Linked DNA regions of Drosophila melanogaster. The protein of the gene in region 2 purifies or fractionates together with the protein of the main gene of each other region. This does not show direct contact. Each region holds a gene or a part of one and is shown on either strand. Other genes may lie near its edges.

What was found. The genes of interacting proteins can lie anywhere in the genome.
Region 1: the proteins of Keap1 (region 2) and ref(2)P purify together in Drosophila melanogaster (affinity purification with western blotting; 3 studies listed by BioGRID). This does not show direct contact.

What each region holds. Positions count from the first base shown.
Region 1 is NT_033779.5:19,539,348-19,547,259, reverse strand, and holds ref(2)P (refractory to sigma P), read right to left. Parts: upstream 4,793-7,912; 5' UTR 4,444-4,792; coding exon 4,272-4,443; intron 3,641-4,271; coding exon 2,159-3,640; intron 2,104-2,158; coding exon 1,958-2,103; 3' UTR 1,712-1,957; downstream 1-1,711. Other genes in the region: CG10337 (uncharacterized protein), read left to right, coding at 449-613, 835-1,057, 1,124-1,455; CG13081 (uncharacterized protein), read right to left, coding at 5,917-5,971, 6,034-6,211, 6,267-6,567; CG13082 (uncharacterized protein), read right to left, coding at 7,631-7,912.
Region 2 is NT_033777.3:17,072,571-17,081,444, forward strand, and holds Keap1 (Keap1), read right to left. Parts: upstream 5,533-8,874; 5' UTR 5,336-5,532; coding exon 5,248-5,335; intron 4,324-5,247; coding exon 4,007-4,323; intron 3,933-4,006; coding exon 3,675-3,932; intron 3,616-3,674; coding exon 2,933-3,615; intron 2,817-2,932; coding exon 2,611-2,816; intron 2,547-2,610; coding exon 1,768-2,546; 3' UTR 1,372-1,767; downstream 1-1,371. Other genes in the region: Ns1 (nucleostemin 1), read right to left, coding at 12-33; mRpS11 (mitochondrial ribosomal protein S11), read left to right, coding at 228-424, 483-613, 668-768, 932-997, 1,058-1,165.

The sequences.
Region 1 (7,912 bases), on a different chromosome or scaffold from region 2:
GGGAATCACTCATGGTGTATTCACCATGATTAACGCCGGTCAATTATCCAATCCGGTTTTAGATTGCTCCAAAAATACCGATAATCGCATGTCGTCCAGCTGGAGAGCAATGCCAATCGCTGCCACCTGTGGCCGCTGCCGCCTTTCCCGCCCCAAGGTGAAAAACACGTGAACGGGTCGATCCGCTGAGTCACTTTTTGCAAACGCCGCGCTCCACTGGCTTTGAAAGTTTGATTTTTCGGATAACGCTGGCGGAGCTTTCGATGGCTTTTTCCAGCTGTTCCATGCCGTCAGACTCTCAAAAGCGTTCTAACAACCGCCACGAGCAGTCGCGATCTTCGGTTTCGGTTTATGGTGCCCAAATACTTGGATTCGTCTTATCGGTTCTACGTGCGCATCTCACGTAGCAGATAAGTGATTTTCGCACAGCTAAGACATCCTCAGCATAATGACAACTGCCGAATTGCAAGGTTCCTATGGAGGCCTCTACTTTGGCTTCTGCACACTGATCTCGCATGTGCTTCTGGCGGGGATCACCGTAGCCATTGTTTACAAGTGTCTGGTGCTCAAATTGGTGCACACCGCCGGACATGCCTTCTACTGCACAATCGGCGTAAGTATTTTGATTTCGGATATTAAAAGATTTAGAAACATATGTGAAAAAGTGAAAGTTTGAGGCCACGGTTAACAAATAATCTAATGGTTTCAAGGATATATATTTCTCGAGTGAGAGTTTTCTGTACCCGGAAGACCTAAATATAAACTGGTTTACTATCTCCTGAAATTTTTACCCGTCCTAAATCATTGTTCCATCTATCTTCTATTTCATTATAGTTTGTGTTTTTCATGGGCGAAGCATTGCTGGTCCGGAATAGCGCATATTTGGAGTCCTCGTTGGGTCCATTGAACCTCAACCGCCTGCACGCCGTCCTGGGGCTGTTGGCATTCCTGGTCGGAGCCGGCGGAATCGGAATCAAGACATGGCAGAAGCTGGAGCGCAAACGGGAAGACCCCAATGCCACCGTTCGTCACTTTAAGAGCAACCATGCTTTTTACGGTGTGTTCTCGTCGGTTCTTTTCCCAAATATAATGATAATTTATGCCTCCATCTTTCGCCCATCAGGTATAATCGGTTGTGCTCTTCTTCTGGGTAGCGTTCTGAGCGGTCTTCCGCTGTATTTCATCAACAGTGGCTTCGCCTTGAAAATGCTTCATCGATTTTTCGGATTGTCCGGATTCCTCGTTCTGATGGTATCTCAAATGTTCGGATATAACACGGGATTCGGTCGGCGACAGTGGAAGGCACACCACCAGAAGCTCTTCAAATTTTTCACATTTATTGCCACCATTACGACTGCAAATTACGAACTCCGGAGATTTGTGCGAGATGTTGCCGGCTTGGCGACAGACTATTTTATTGGATCAGATGCAGCAGAAGCTAGAGAAGATCTTTGAGGCTCTTTCGACAAGCGAGTAGTGTTCACACTGGAATATCAATACTACAGGAAACGAATCGAATTCCGAAACACAGTATTGTGGATTTGTGTATCACTCAAGAAATAATTCGAGTGCTTTGCGGATTTGAACTCTGAAAAACCAGAATCGATTTATACCATACGTATAAACACATTATCTAAGTGGAGGAGGCTTTTGTTGTCTGTCAATCGTACTCTACTAAACAAAACCATATCAGGTATAAAGCAGGCATTTTAAATCATTTTACTTTGTGCCTTTATTGCAATTTCACACATACATATATATACGATAACATTTTGTTGATTATTTAAAACATAACATATATCTATTTTCACATTTATTTTGGCTACGAGATAAATCTAGCACCACAGAAAAACTAAGCTACGTAGTAAACTGATACGATAAAGTAAAATCCCTTTTTCATTGGGTTCTATAGATATTGAAGATACATTGTAGATATATCGATATTGAATATGAATATTTAGTTGCGGTTCTGCGATACGTTCATTACGTCCAAGGCAGCTGAGATATTGCCCTGAACCGACTCTAGGAGCTGGGTTAGCCAGGCGCCCTCGTTGCTGAAACCCATGGCCATCATGGCATGGATCGATTTATTGATGCTTTCATCTAATTAGGAGACATAATTAATACAAAGCGATTAGTTATTTAATTCGGCACTTACCAGTGTGGTAGACGGGGACCGTGCGCTTGTCGTCGGGAGCTGCTGGGGAGGTGCCGACGCTATTGGTGGTCACCGATGTGGTCGAGGTCGATGTACTCACCGTATCAACTTGAGCAGTCTGGGTGTTGGCCGAAGCCTGCTCCACGCGAGCCTCCTCATTCATGTGCTGACGCAATAGTTCGCCCAGCTGACCAAAATCACGCACCGGCTCCTGAGGAGCAGCAGTGGGATTGGTTGTGTCCAGATTGATCAAGTTACTATTGTTTGCAGAGTATGCATTGTCAATAAGCTGCCACTCTGGATCCAAGCTGTCTGAACGGCGTCTTTCCTGCTCTGTTTCGGTGGTGGTTTCCGATGGCTTAGGATTCAGGGGCTCTGTCTCAAGCTGAGCATCAGGGATCGAACCAGAAATTGATGGAGTGGCCGACTGGTTAGCAGATGGGACATTAGACTGATTAGCCGATGGAGCGGCAGAGGGAACAGCTGACTGGTTGGCCGAGGATGCCCCCGACTGGCCACTGGATTGACCCTGCTCTTCTGGTTTCTTATTCTCAGCACTGGGAGTCGTTGAGGGCGCAAAAATTCCCGAATCACCGCCCTCAGTGGTATCGATAATCTTGGAAAACATTTCGCTGAAGTTATTAAGGATTTCGATGCCAGCACTCATGTACTCGGGTGGCACAATCTGCGAAATGTTATCCAGATTAATCACTGGAGTAGTTGGCTGAGTGGAACGTGGAGTCGTCACTGGATCTTCGGTTCTAGGGACACTTTGATCAGTGTTAACCTTCTTCGGCTCAGTTGGTTTGGCCTCGGATTCAGCTGCCTTTTCAGCGGTAACAGTGGGCTCAGCTTGTGGAGGACTTTCAGTTTGTTCTGCAGCCTTCGGTTTCTGCGGTTCGGCTGGTGCCGTGGCCGTTGTTGTGTTCAGCGGCAAGTTGGTCATCATCTCGACAAACTGAGTCAAGACTCCGGCATGGCGGCGGGCCTGACGCCGTTCACGGCGACTATCCCTTGCGGGTTCGCCAGCAGGATCTGCCTGGTTCGTCTCCTGAAACGGGCAATGTCCCCTGGAGCGCCGGCCACTGCGGCGTCCCAATCCTGGACCTGTGAACCAGGCATCGACCATACCGGGTCCATTGTTGGTCGGCATGCGTAGCATCAAGTGCTCAGGATGCTTGTGAGCCAACTCGCATTTCTGGCAAAGATCATAGTTGCTGCACTGAACGCACTTGTAGCGGAACCCAATCAAGGGAGCCAAGCCGCAGCCATCGCATTCAACGGCGTCGTGGATGGTGAAATTGCTCGGATCGTCGACAGAAGGAGCTTCAGCGTTGGCCGAAGAACCCTCTTGCTTGGTGGCCTTTGGCTCCTCTACGGGCGCCAGTGGAGCCACCTGAACGTGCATATTGCTCTCGCACTTGGCCAGGAAAATCTCATAGTCATTTTGGTTGACTATTTCGATTTCATCTTTATCAGCGTCTGCAAAAGTTAGAATAGGCAAAGGAAAATAAAATCAATTATGAATCAGTGAAGTTTTGTTATCAAAGGTGAATCACTGAGGGCTCTAGTTAGACAAATTAGCTACAGTTGTGGTTGTACCAGCACAACCCGTTTGATCTATGTAAATGTATATGAGTACATGTACACATACTTTACAAATTAAAAAGCGCGTTAGATGTATTTAAAATATATATGTATAATTCGAGAATTCAGAAATATGTAAAATCAAAAATGTTTTGTATGTGTGCCATTTATGAAACAGTGCATCTAATATGTTGACCACGTTTGTACCATAAAAATATATATGTACATATTTATCAGCTAATGTGTCAACACAATTTTGCCAATGATAAGCATTGAGCAGGAATACTATCTAGGTGAATCCCTGCTTTGTTGGGCAAAGTACGCAATAATTTGGGCTGGTTTTTAAGTAACGAGACTTAAAAGCTAAATGGTCAGCACTGCTCGGACGGATGCAGTTATGTATGGAAACGAATGTACTTATACCATGCACATATGTTGCAATCTTTGCGACTCGATTGCAATTGCGAATAACTGTTTGTATGTATAGCAAACATTCACTCTGCGGCATTTTCATTGTAAAACTCACCGATCCAGAAGGTCCTTACGTCGCATTTGGGTAACTGGCGCTCCTGGAAAAGATACAGCTCGATTTCGCGACGCAATATGGTGTAATTCTGGGAGGGCATCCGCAGGTATGCATTTATCTTTTTCTGGGGTCCAGCGCCCTGGTAGGTGATTTTCAACAGCTTCTCCGGCATTTTCGCAACGTATTCTGTAGTTTCGACAGACTTTTGAATATATGTATGTATATATATCGATGCTGACGCTTTTATTCTCGTTTAACTTGTTGCGGCGAATTTATGTGACGGATTCTATTAATTTGGAGCTCTCGACTACTGCGTAGTTTTTGTTCGGCCGTTCGATTGTGTATACAAGTGCAGCTGGGTGAGAGCAGGTATATATACTAGGCGAACTAGTTGCTGGAAGGTTCTTGAATGAGTGAGGCTCAAATTGTTGCAAATCACGGTGCTGCCTGCTGGGCTGCACTAGTTAATCTATCCCCAAAATTGTATTGTAATGCCAAAGCTGGTCTTTGGCAAAGATTAATAATACTTCGGTTATCGATAATGAAAATATTTTTACGCGGCTCTATCGAACTCACCACTTTTAGTATTTTTACATTCACATTTTGCTTTACATAAAATTTCGCCAGAATATCGATATTTTTACCCATTAAAACTTCACACATACATACGTCAGTTTCTTATCGATATCGAAATCAGCAAACCCGAAATATTGAAAACCTAATCTAAAGATGGTTTTGTTTTATGAAACTTGGCAATCTAGGTAATCTAAAATGATGCCTCTGCGTTCGTAATTTTCTTCGGAACTATAAAAATGGGAGGCAATAAAACGGTCAATCTGAACTGGGGTAATTGGAGGTTTTTCAAGATGTTTTGAATTCCGTCGTAATGCATTCCCTAGTAATATTGATAGGTATCAAACTGGAGAAGGTGAAGGGTGATATTTATATCTAAAACATATAAAGGATGGCGTCCTAATCATTCAATCCTTCAAAGGATTGAACTTCCAAATCGCGAGGTTCACGTGAACATTATTTCCGAATATACATATATATCTTGATATCACACGAAATTGCCTTCACGAATCTTTACTGAATGAGACTGGATTTATTCGCGGTCTTAAAAGCTTTGAAAACAATGTCCTCATGGAAATTAATCAATCGATGATGAAAATCAAAACAGAAAAAAAACAGAAATCAATTGTCCGGGATCTAAAGAAAATAGGAATGAAAAGCATATGATTTCGGAGTTCTCAAATCGGACGATCTGCAGATATCCACTATTGGATGCCGAGTCTTGCTTGCAAATTAGCTCCGCTTTCGAGGATTCATCTCCAGACTGAGCTTTCTATTGGATTCCCAGAAAATTTTAATTTTTTTTATAAAGATAGTTGACACACTAAGTTAAAATAAAAAAAAAAAAACATCGTATGTCATGCTTTTCAATATTTATATATTTTGAATGGAAAAGTGATGGATGTTTAAAATACCAAGTACTGTACAGTGATTTTGAACTTTTTAAATATTGTTCAGTGGAACAGCACCAATGGGATCAACGGAAATTTAAATTCGAAGAATGATTTTATTTGCTATGTATTTTCCAAGAACTTAGGACTAATTTCTTGTCATAGTATCTAAAGATATCATTTTAGGCCTTAGAACTTTTGAGCATCTTAAGCAATTGGAGCAGTTGAGTTGGAGATCTGAGCAAAAACCATCTTTTAATTAGTTTCTAAGCAGAATTACATATTAGTGCTGTACTAACCGGCTGGCAGTTTGAGAAGCTACAATTTGATGTTGTCTGCTTTCCAAATTAATCTGGGCTAGCTCAGGAATCTTAGTTACGCCCTCGGTGGAACCAGAGTCTGTGTCGGTCTCAGGATCCCTCTCGTACATCTGAGTTGAATCTGGATCCGGTGTAGATTGGCGCAACAACATTTCACCTGGCGTGGAATTAGTGTTATGTCGGCAATTCGATTCTATTACAGTAGTACTCACTCAAGTAGGACTCTGCCATGGAGTAGAGCAAGCTGGAGCTCATTTGAGGCGCCATTCCGATGACGACCCCATCCACTTTGAACTGATAGTTCTCCCCACCCTTTTGCCGTTGGTCGTATAGAATGTCCTCGCGCTGAAAACCATTCTCGGAATAGTCGTCGTATAAGACGTCCAGCAAGTCGCTGATCACGTTCCTCGAATTCCCTGGCCTAGTCTTGCCGCCAACGGGCTGGGCCAGAATTCTTCCAAGTGCCACAAGCAGCAGGGCGAACACAAACAGCCGGTTGGTGAACTTGCACATGATGTTGCCCAAGCGAAAAGACCGCAGGACCGATGTGCTCCAATGGCGTGCGTTGAATGATTCCAAGTTCTCGGCCGCTGTGAAGGCGAGCCCACCTGGACCACAACTGGAGACTGGAAGACCAAGAAAACCCGATTTATGGACACAGTTCAATGGCCGCCTCCAATCAGCCCAAAGACTTCCGCATTGCCAGGTTGCTGTGGGAATCTTTAGCTCCGCGCATTTCTAATGCTTCCCAGCAGCCACGTTCGAAGTCCGTTCCATTCGAGAGGAACTATCTGCCTTGTGTTCGATCTTCTCCGGCTCCTCATCTAACCCATTGTCGTTCGCAGATATCGCATTGAGTTTCAAGAAGAAACTTCTTTTTTTATTATTGTGATGAGTTATTTTCACTCATCTTGCGCCAATTTAAATTTGTTTAGTAACCCAATCTCTGTAAGCATGATTCCAAAAAAAGTTAACCCAATAACCTCAATTTGCCGCAAAAAGAAGTCCAAAATCTTTATGGCAGTGCTAATTGCCCCGCCTGCAATAGACACAGCTAGATCTCTTTCAGTTATCTAGTCTGGGTGCAGTTCTGGGCGCGGGTTCAATGACTTGGCCACAGGAAGGGGCTGGCAGCCACCTGCAAACTGGTTTCGCACATAAATCTCGCGTACATCGCAAACTATGGAGCACCTGGCCTTTGGCTCTGGACAGTAATTGCCGTTTTATGGCCCCAGGAAGGCTATCCAGACTCCAGCCTCATCCTTCAGCGCATCATTAAAGCCGAACTCGAACCGTTAGATCCAGTGCCCACTTCCGCCGTTGGAGCATCTACATAGAAGGTGATTTGCAATCTGAAGCTAACTATTAACAAAAAGTTATTAGCCATGTAATGGTGCTTAATGTTAGTCGCAAATAAATCATCTCCCATATTTGCTCCTACTAACGAGCAGTTTAATCTCAATGTCGATTATGTTTTCGTATTTATTAATAAGACAATTTCGTCGGCTTAATTCTAGAGTGTGCAATGTATGAAACTAACATTTAAGCTGGCAGTCTGGCGTTCTCACTCCTCCGCTTAATAGCCCTCGATCTGGCGACATTCGCCGTAGCTATCACGACGTTCTCCGCGAGCGCAGCGCGCCAGTCCGTCCCGGAGGAGGGTTCGGGACTCGGCCAGGTCGTCGTCGGCCAACAGATCGAAGCTAACGATCTCCGGTTCCACCGCTTGTGCCCGAGTGGGTTCCTCGTCCAGTTGCCAGGAGCGCGATTGGTCCGAGAAGTAGGTGGGTGCGTCGATGGGGGGGTAAAGGCCATTGGCTCCTCTGCCAAGATCGCTGCGGTAAATGGGGGCACTAAT
Region 2 (8,874 bases):
CTATTACTTACTCTTCAACCTTTTTAAAGCCATTTTACACGAGGATAACCGGAATCAAAACCAACTTAAAACAAGAACACGTGAAAATAGTCTTCTTCTTGACTTTTTGTCAGTCACCACGAAGCGTGGCCACTTGTTGTGGCGTGCTAGCCAACACTGCCAGTGTTGCCAGACTGGCAGTGTGATGTAATTTGGTTTTTGTGAACCCTCTGCGAAGTAAATTAATAATGTCACTGAAAAGTGTATTTCTAAGTGCTCTTCGGAGTATTACTATGCCCGCTGTGCCGCTCCAGACTTCTAGGATACACACGAGCGCTTGCTGGCGGAAGGCGGAGGACCGCAAGGAAATGCTGGCATCTTTACCGGCCAAAGACGAAGGAACCGTGGGCGAAAAGACCGTGGACATCGACACACTTATCAACCGGTTGGAATTCAATTTTACATTTGTAAATAGTCTTGAATTCAATTAATTTTCCATTTAGCAAGGCTAAGTTTTTCCCGGATGCCAGCACCGCCAACACGTTATTCAATGGAATACCCTTCAACGAGCTGCCCATCTGCAACATTCGCGTTTCACCCAACAACACAATTATTTCCGTCACGGATCACAAAGGTGGGTCATCTGGAACGTTACTCTAACTGTGATCTAAAGTATCCCTCTTTCCAGGAGTCCTCCGGCTGATACGATCCTGTGGAATTGAGGGATTCAAAAACACTCGCAAGGGAACCAACATAGCAGCTCAAGCTACAGCGGTTACCATTAGTGGAGTAAGTCATTTCCACAAGAAACAGGTTTTACCAAAGTAGGATGGTCAAAAACTACATAGAACATCGAGATAATCTCCATTATAGTTGTATACCATATATGCATTTGAATAGTATAATATGGGCATAGAATCATTTAAAACAAAAAACTTAAATTGTATTTCAGAAAGCCATTGAATTGGGCTGGAAGACAGTGCGAGTAAAGGTTCGTGGTCTTGGCCCTGGAAGAATGGTATGTTCAATACTTTTTGTCTCTCATGTCACTTAAAAATAATTAAATGTTTTGATTCAGTCGGCCATCAAAGGACTGCAAATGGGTGGGCTGAACATCGTTTCCATTACCGACAACACACATGTTTCCTTCAATCCTCCAAGACCCCGAAAGCAGAGAAGTCTTTAATGTGCAACTTGTTAAGACAACTTGTTTAAAAGCAAAATACACAAATAGTCGTTTACAAACAAATACGAAAACAACAGTTTATCTTTCTAATGGAATAAATAGCACTGTCACGGTGAGTTTTATTAGGAAGATATTTGAATATGGCCTTTTTGTTGCCACGGCCAAAGGTTTGCACAAGATTAATAGCAAAAAGATTAAATAACTTTGTAAAATATGTTTGTTTTATTTTTCTTAAATTATTTGCTTTCTTTTCTTAAAACCTATTTTGGATGCGCATAATTCCTCTTCTTATCCTACGTTAAAAAAAGTACAATACGCAATCTATCAGTTTGGATACCTACAAAATACGTAAAATACGAACTTTCCTCCCACTAATCAACTATTAACCCTAATCAATCTTTTTAAAATGGGCTGACGAGCGCCAGTTATGTTATGGATGCCATAAAAACGGTTTGACTAATTATCACCTAGCGAACACACTAGTAAGTAATATTACAATGGAATGCTGCTTCTCAACATGGAATTCTAGGGGATACGATCAGGCTTTGTACAATGAATGATGTTTTTGGTTGAGGCTAAGCGTGAGGCTCGGATTCGTATTGTCATGTGGCTGCGCTCGTGAGTTTTCGCAGGCGACCTTCGATGTGATGGTGAAAAACTTTCGCTGCTGTGCTAAATAAACATTCTTTTTGTGCTTTTTTTAATTTATGCCGCATATCATTAGCATTTCTCTCATCATCTGTGAAAGACGCTGGTGGAGTTCTTCGAAATCTTTCCTGCATTCTGGACCAAGGACAGTTTGGATTGACTAGCTCCTCGGATCTAATGGCGGGAATTTGAAAACTATGGTGTTCTGCAGGAATATATGGTTTTATATCCATTTCCGAGTCACAATTGTTGCAGCCGCTCATTCCGTATGAAGTATGAAACTGCATATTGGACGCCGTCCCAGGATAATGTGGACTCCCACTGCCGTACGTGTTTTGTGGTGTATGAGCATTCCTTTCCCCGTTGTTACTTCCATCCGGGTGTGGGGCGTCACTATCTTCGTAGTCCATAAACGTGGTGGAACACGCCGGCTGATAAATAACCGCCGACGCATGACCCGATCTTCCCGATTTTAGTGGTGTTCCTGTTGTCCACGTATTTGTTCGTGGATCGTAGACCTCGACTATGGACAGAAAGTTGTTGCCATCGAATCCACCAATGGCGTACAGTTTTTCGTCCAGCGGAGTCAGCGAGAGAGCACTGCGTGCGATTTGAATTGGCGCAACCATGTCCCAGGTATCGTTTTCGGTATCATAACGCTCCACGGTGGCTAGTTGACGGGTGCCATCGAAGCCACCAACAACGTAGATGTACTGGTTAATTGCAGCAACACCTGATAGCAATTAAATCGGAACTTAGTTGGAAATTAGATAACAGGATGCGCCAGTCATTCTTACCCGCTCCACTGCGACCCGTTTGTAGTGGTGGCAAAAAACTCCACTCATTGTTCTCCGGATGGTAGCACTCCACGCTGGCCAAGCGCTCGTTTCCATCGAAACCTCCGATGGCATAAAGCAGACGGTTGACCACCACAACACCCACTCCCAAGCGCTTGGCATGCATCGGCTGTACAAGAGTCCAGCGATCCAAATCGGGGTCATAGCTGCAAGAGATTTAAATAAATAGGGTTTGCTAAACTATGTCGATAGAATAAACAACCAGAAAGGCTTTGTCAAATTAATTAAACTATTATCTATTGAAATGATGAACACTACTTACTATTCCACCGTGTTGTGGTACTCCATGCCGGCGGACCCGCCTACGGCGTACATCAGCTCGTCCATCACGGCCACGCCCACTCGATGGCGTGGCACGGACATGGGAGCGCACGGACGCCATGTTTCGGTGACTGCACTATAGCGATCCACCCAATCCGAGTCGTAGGAAGATCCAATGTTGTTATTTCTGCCTCCAACCGCATAGAACTTGCCCTTGAGAAAGGCGGCACCCAAACCAGATCTTGGAATGCGTAGATTTGCCAGTGTCGTCCACGTCATGTCGTCTACATTGTAGGCCTCCAGAATGTCCAGTGAGTGACGAAAAAAGCCACCGGCGACAAATATCATCCTTGTGGTGTTGGGGGTTCGTTCCTTGACTCCTGGACACTTGTGCAGCGTTAAGTCCTTAAAGATCTTGGCCAAATACTCCCGACAGGCGGGCACCTTTCGCAGAACATCGCAGTTTTTCATCTGCTCCTTGAGGAAGTTGGGCGTAAGGAACTGACAACGGACAGCGCCCAAAATGTGCTCCATTTTACAGTGTCGATTGTCCTCGTCGTATTTCACCCACTTTAGCACAGCGTTGTAAACCTCTCGCTCCTCCTGCACATTCAGTTCATCCCTTCGTATCAGGGCAATCAACTGATATGCCGAAAGCTGCAGGAATTCCTCCTCTTGGCACACCTTAGGGGAACTCAGTAGCTATAGTTTTGTGTACTCTTTTCATATCGTAAATAGGTTACCTGAGTGAAATTTCGCTCAATAAACACATTGGCCTTCTTTTGCAGCTCAACACAGCCGTGTTGCTCAGCAAAGTGGGCGATGCCAATGGCATTCGTGGGATCCAATTGGCGCTCCAGAAAGGCACAGCAGGCATCGATTACGTTTGGCACTTGGAACATGGTGGCCGCGGGCAGGAGTTGGCACACCGTTACCTCGGTCACACGTATTTGGCCGGTGTACATGAAGTAGAGGATGCGTGACATGGCCGTGGGACACACCTGTAACACCGAAACGGACGAACTGTTCATCCATTAAACCAACCAATTAAGGGCCGCGCTTGAGCTCAACTTACCCCTTGGAGCTGGACGCGCGACATCTCCGACTCCTTGAGTCCCCCCGTGAACATGGCCTTGAAGTAGGGCGATGCCGCCGACAGCACCACTTTGTGGGCGGGAAAGAGCTCCTTCTTCACCTCGAGTACCACGTCCGTGAGCATGCCGTGCGAACGCATCATGTACATCATCTTCAGGGCCTCCTTGGCGTAATTGGACATGCAGAAGGTCATGTCATCATCCGTAGCATCGTGATCATCTAGGGTCGAGTGCGCCGATCCGAATCGACCACCGCATGAGATGGAACAACTTTCCGAAGTGTTGCTCATCTCAGCCTCTGGAAAATCGAGGAATAGATCATATTGTAATTCCAGGACATATTTCAGAAAATATTCAATTAATTTTAATTATTTAACAATTAATTTAATAATAATTAATAATTATATTAAATAGTAATTAATTATTATTAATTATTATTAATCTTAAAACCAATACACGCCCTACAGTTGAGCCCTGTAACCCTTGTACCTCGTACCTCATCCATCGCAAATAGATCGACAATCAGCGCGGGCTATTTATTCTATTTTATTATCTAATCTGTTATGAATTTGCAAAAAAATTAAAAATGGCACTTTAAAGAAATCCTCCAAGTGTGAAATGACGTACTATATTATGGATATCCAAGATAACCGAAAGGTTAGATACGACCGACCTTTAATACGTTCTAGAAATTAAAGCGGTCATTTATTTTGTTTTTGAATGCGAATAAGTTGGTAAGTTTATGAGTTGGTAATTTGGTAAATTGGGCTTAAAGATTTATAAGCTCTCGATTAGAAAACTAAGATAAGATTAAGGTAAATTATCTGTTTATTTCAAGAACACTCTTTCGAATGGATACTACATTGCCAACCGGAATTTGCATTGTCAACACAAACCAGTTTCTTTCGCGATAATATTTCAAATGTCTCTAATTATTCAAACGTCCAAATCGAGCAATGCAACCTGGATAAGTGCCGTTTCACTCCATTAATTTTTATCATCTCACATTCAACTACAAGTGACTTCACTGTAGCACAATCTGGAATCGTTTTCGCCAATCATTGTGGGCTGTTTCAGAGAACTTGATTCGCAATGCGCACCGTCATGATCAGTGGTTTCTTTTTTTTTTACCAAAAGCACGCGTAGCGAAAATATCTGGCAAACTTGTTGCGAATTGAACTGTAGACCCAAGGTCAAATCCAGAACTTTAAAAAAAACCAACCTTCTGGGCGGCAGGGGTATCCCTTGTGGTTGGGCATGTCGGAGATGTGGGTCTCATATTGCATGGGCGAGTGCATTTGGGTTTGCATTTTGGCACTAATCTCGGATCGATAGGGATCCTTCACAGCTTCGTTAGTTCGGTAGAGATAGTTTCAATAATCAATAGTTTCGCAAACAAAGACTGAAAGTCCGTGTGAAAATGAAAGCGCGCGATCAGCTGCTTCTCCGCAAATCCGCTCCGGCGATCATGCGTGTGCCGTGGAGAGAGCCCGTCAACTGACTGCCGTGGTCTGCGTCTGCCCAGCCACAGAGCCCACCGAGACTTATCTCTCGCGGGGATGGTGGCGGAGTGGGGGGAGCGTTTCAAAGAGCGTTATCATGCTTACATATGTGTGTGTGTGCACACATGTGCCTGAGTTCTATGTGGCCCTTCCAGGTGAATACACTCCGTGTTGTGGCGATAAAAACTATATAATGCCATGAATGAAACGCACGGCCCGTGGGCGGTTTTTTGGACCGTAACGATGATGCTCACAAATCGTAACCGATGGCAAACATAATTGTTTACCATGTTTACCAGCAACAGGTTTTTGTATGGAGCCTCAGGCTACACAGCGTTTGCAAAAAAATTACGCGTGTCATGCAAGCAGTTAGGAATTTCGTTTTGTTCAAAAGATAGCTAAAATGTGTTCAAAGTCCGTGCCAAATGAACTATTGAATACAATCAAAACAAAAAGCTAAGCTAATTTCGTATGCGCATATCGTGGAATATGTTTAAAAGAGATTACGTCTCTCTATTTTTTATTGCATAGTATTTTAGTCATGATCGGAGTTCTGTCTTAAGGGAATTTCACAACATAAATGGCCATATACACAATATTGTACGGTATATCCGATTAATCATTGTTACCAAGCTCAATTGAAAAGGCAATAAATTTTGAAGTATCAAGTCATGTTCCCAAAACAATTTCAATTTATGAACGCCTTATACACATGACGATAGAAATATTAATATCACTGATACACACTTAAAAAAATTTTTCGCATTAAATGAAGTAACTACAATAATGAAATATTTTTTTTTTTCATTTAATAATATTAAGACACAAAACCCTTTCAAAGATTATCCTTTAATTTTATTATTTATTCTAGAGAAATGTTTACAAAACGTTTAAAATTTATCGTATGTTTTTCTTATCTGAATCACCAAATTAAAACCACTACATATGTACTACACAAATATTTTTGTTTAATCAGATAAGGGCAAAAGGGACTTCCCCCGCCAAAAATCCCATATAAGTATTATGGCGAATCAAACGTACTTTGGAAAATCCACGCCCTTTAATAACATTAGTTCATCAAAGTGCGGCTTTAAATTTCCGCATAAAGTGACGCTGAGTTGGTTGTTGGTAAATGAATGATAAAGGCAAAAACTGGACGAAATAGTGCCGAATCATGCTGAAGAGGCAAAACCTTACACACTGTCACAGTGGTACGTCGGTGTAGGTGAAAACAGCAGCGTAATCAGCACGGATGTTGGGGATGTGTGTTTGTGTGTTTGCAGGTACCGTTGAACTTTGCTTTCACATAAACAAATATTACTCACTTACATTGCTCTCCCTGGGGCGACAGCTGTCACCCTTGCACACACGTACGTACTGTACATACTATTTACATACATACACACACCCGCACTTCCAACGCCATGTGCCAAACAGCTGATAAAGGCCATTGAAACTGAACTCGAAAGAAGGCCACTTAAAACAAACCACTTTGTTGTAAGAGATTACCGCAATGCAGGACAAACATTTACACTTTATCACCAGGGATTTCAAGATCTCACAGATACTTCATATATTTATGTATATAACCACGTAAATCGGCTGGGAAAATACACCGTTAATTTCTCCCTTTGTTTCATTGAGGTTTTCACATGCAGATAAATGTACGATCGTAGACAAATAAAAGGTTTCCCAGCTGGAAACTAAACTATGCGAGGGTCATGCACTTTTTATGCCTTTTTTGCACTTTGTATGTTTTATTTACTGCTACTCACATCTGTATTTATTTATTTTGCCACTACACAACGATTTTTTCTACTCTTCTTCTTAAGGTAAACATGCAAGTGCTGGAAAACGCTCGACACTGAAAGCATGTAATGACAGGAGTTGCCAGATGTCCAACCAGCTGGTGGATATTTATAAAATAAATGGTATACATGATATTAAACCACATTTACAAACAATTTTAATTATTACAACTTTAAAGTTGGTTGTACTGTTTCACTATTCTGATAATTTTTTTTTTTTTTTTTTTACATATAGATGTAGAAATTCCAAGACGTGAACCATCGTGACTTATCGAAAGCAAAACGATGATCGGCAGCACGTGGTATTTCTCCGCGTGGTAGCTAAGGTCCCACTAGCGCGTTGGTTATAATTTGTTTGTATCGGCGTCGGTTGAATTGAAATCAGTTAATTTGTCGCAAAGTAATTTCTGTATAAGTATTAGCTGTGCTGCTAGAACTAGAACGCTACAAGGTGGGTGTGCTTATGTTTATATTGATTTACAAAAAGCTAAAATACTGCTGGTTTCGATGGGCACTGTCTGCGCATCCTTTTTGTTGCGGTAGGATAGTATAGCATACATACATAAATTTGTGCGCGTACAAAGGAATAATTCAAATGTTCAAAATGTGCGCAAAATATGAAGCAGCAGGCGTTAGAAACATCAGTTTTATTGCCCTGCAAAAGGGCTTTATTGCACCCCTCGCCCAAGAGCTCACATTTTTTTTCCTTTCTCCAAACAAATTATCGCCAATTGCGGCTGTCGCGCCGCCATTTTAAAAAACGAACGCGGTATCAGCCTCCTACAATTGCATGGTACAGTGGTGGCAAAGCATAGTGGACCAGGTCAAAAAACCTGGGATGTCGAAATATCAAACTATAGTTTATTTTTGTTTTCAATTATAAGTAGCTTGGAGAAGCATATCTAAATATATAGTACATACAATATTATCTACTGCAGCGTTACATCCTTGAATATCGTTTTCTGTATACAAATAAATAAGAGATTCAATAACACAATGGTAGCTATCTAAATATGTCTATCAAAATAGTAATGTTTGATTCAGATTTCTCTAGTCAAATATTTATTGCTTTTGTACTGTATGCAATATTTTGGCGCGCACTGTATGCCGCCTTTTCTTGCCCACTCACAGACAGTTTGTCGCTGCACATGTGTGGGTTTCTGATTTTTTTGTACTCTTCCTTTTGTTTGTTTTTTTTTGCCGATCCGATCGCAGCTTGTTCAAATTGATTAACTAGACTTGGAGCAGAACCGCCATTAACCACTCGACCATATAAAGAGGCATTTATGCTCGAGTTTAATCAACTCCGCGAAGCAAATATCAAAACAAACGACGAAAGGGCACTGCAATAACAGTGATAATTCCGCATAAAAGAGGGCTTGGCTATAAATACATGTGTGCCACACACTCACACACTCGCATCTGCATGGCAAACCTCGCAAAAACATTCATTCTCTTCATTTCTCATTTTTGCAGTCTTTCGCTGCAATTGTGTGCATTATTTTTTATGTATTTTGCGCAGCATCGTTCGTTGTCCGC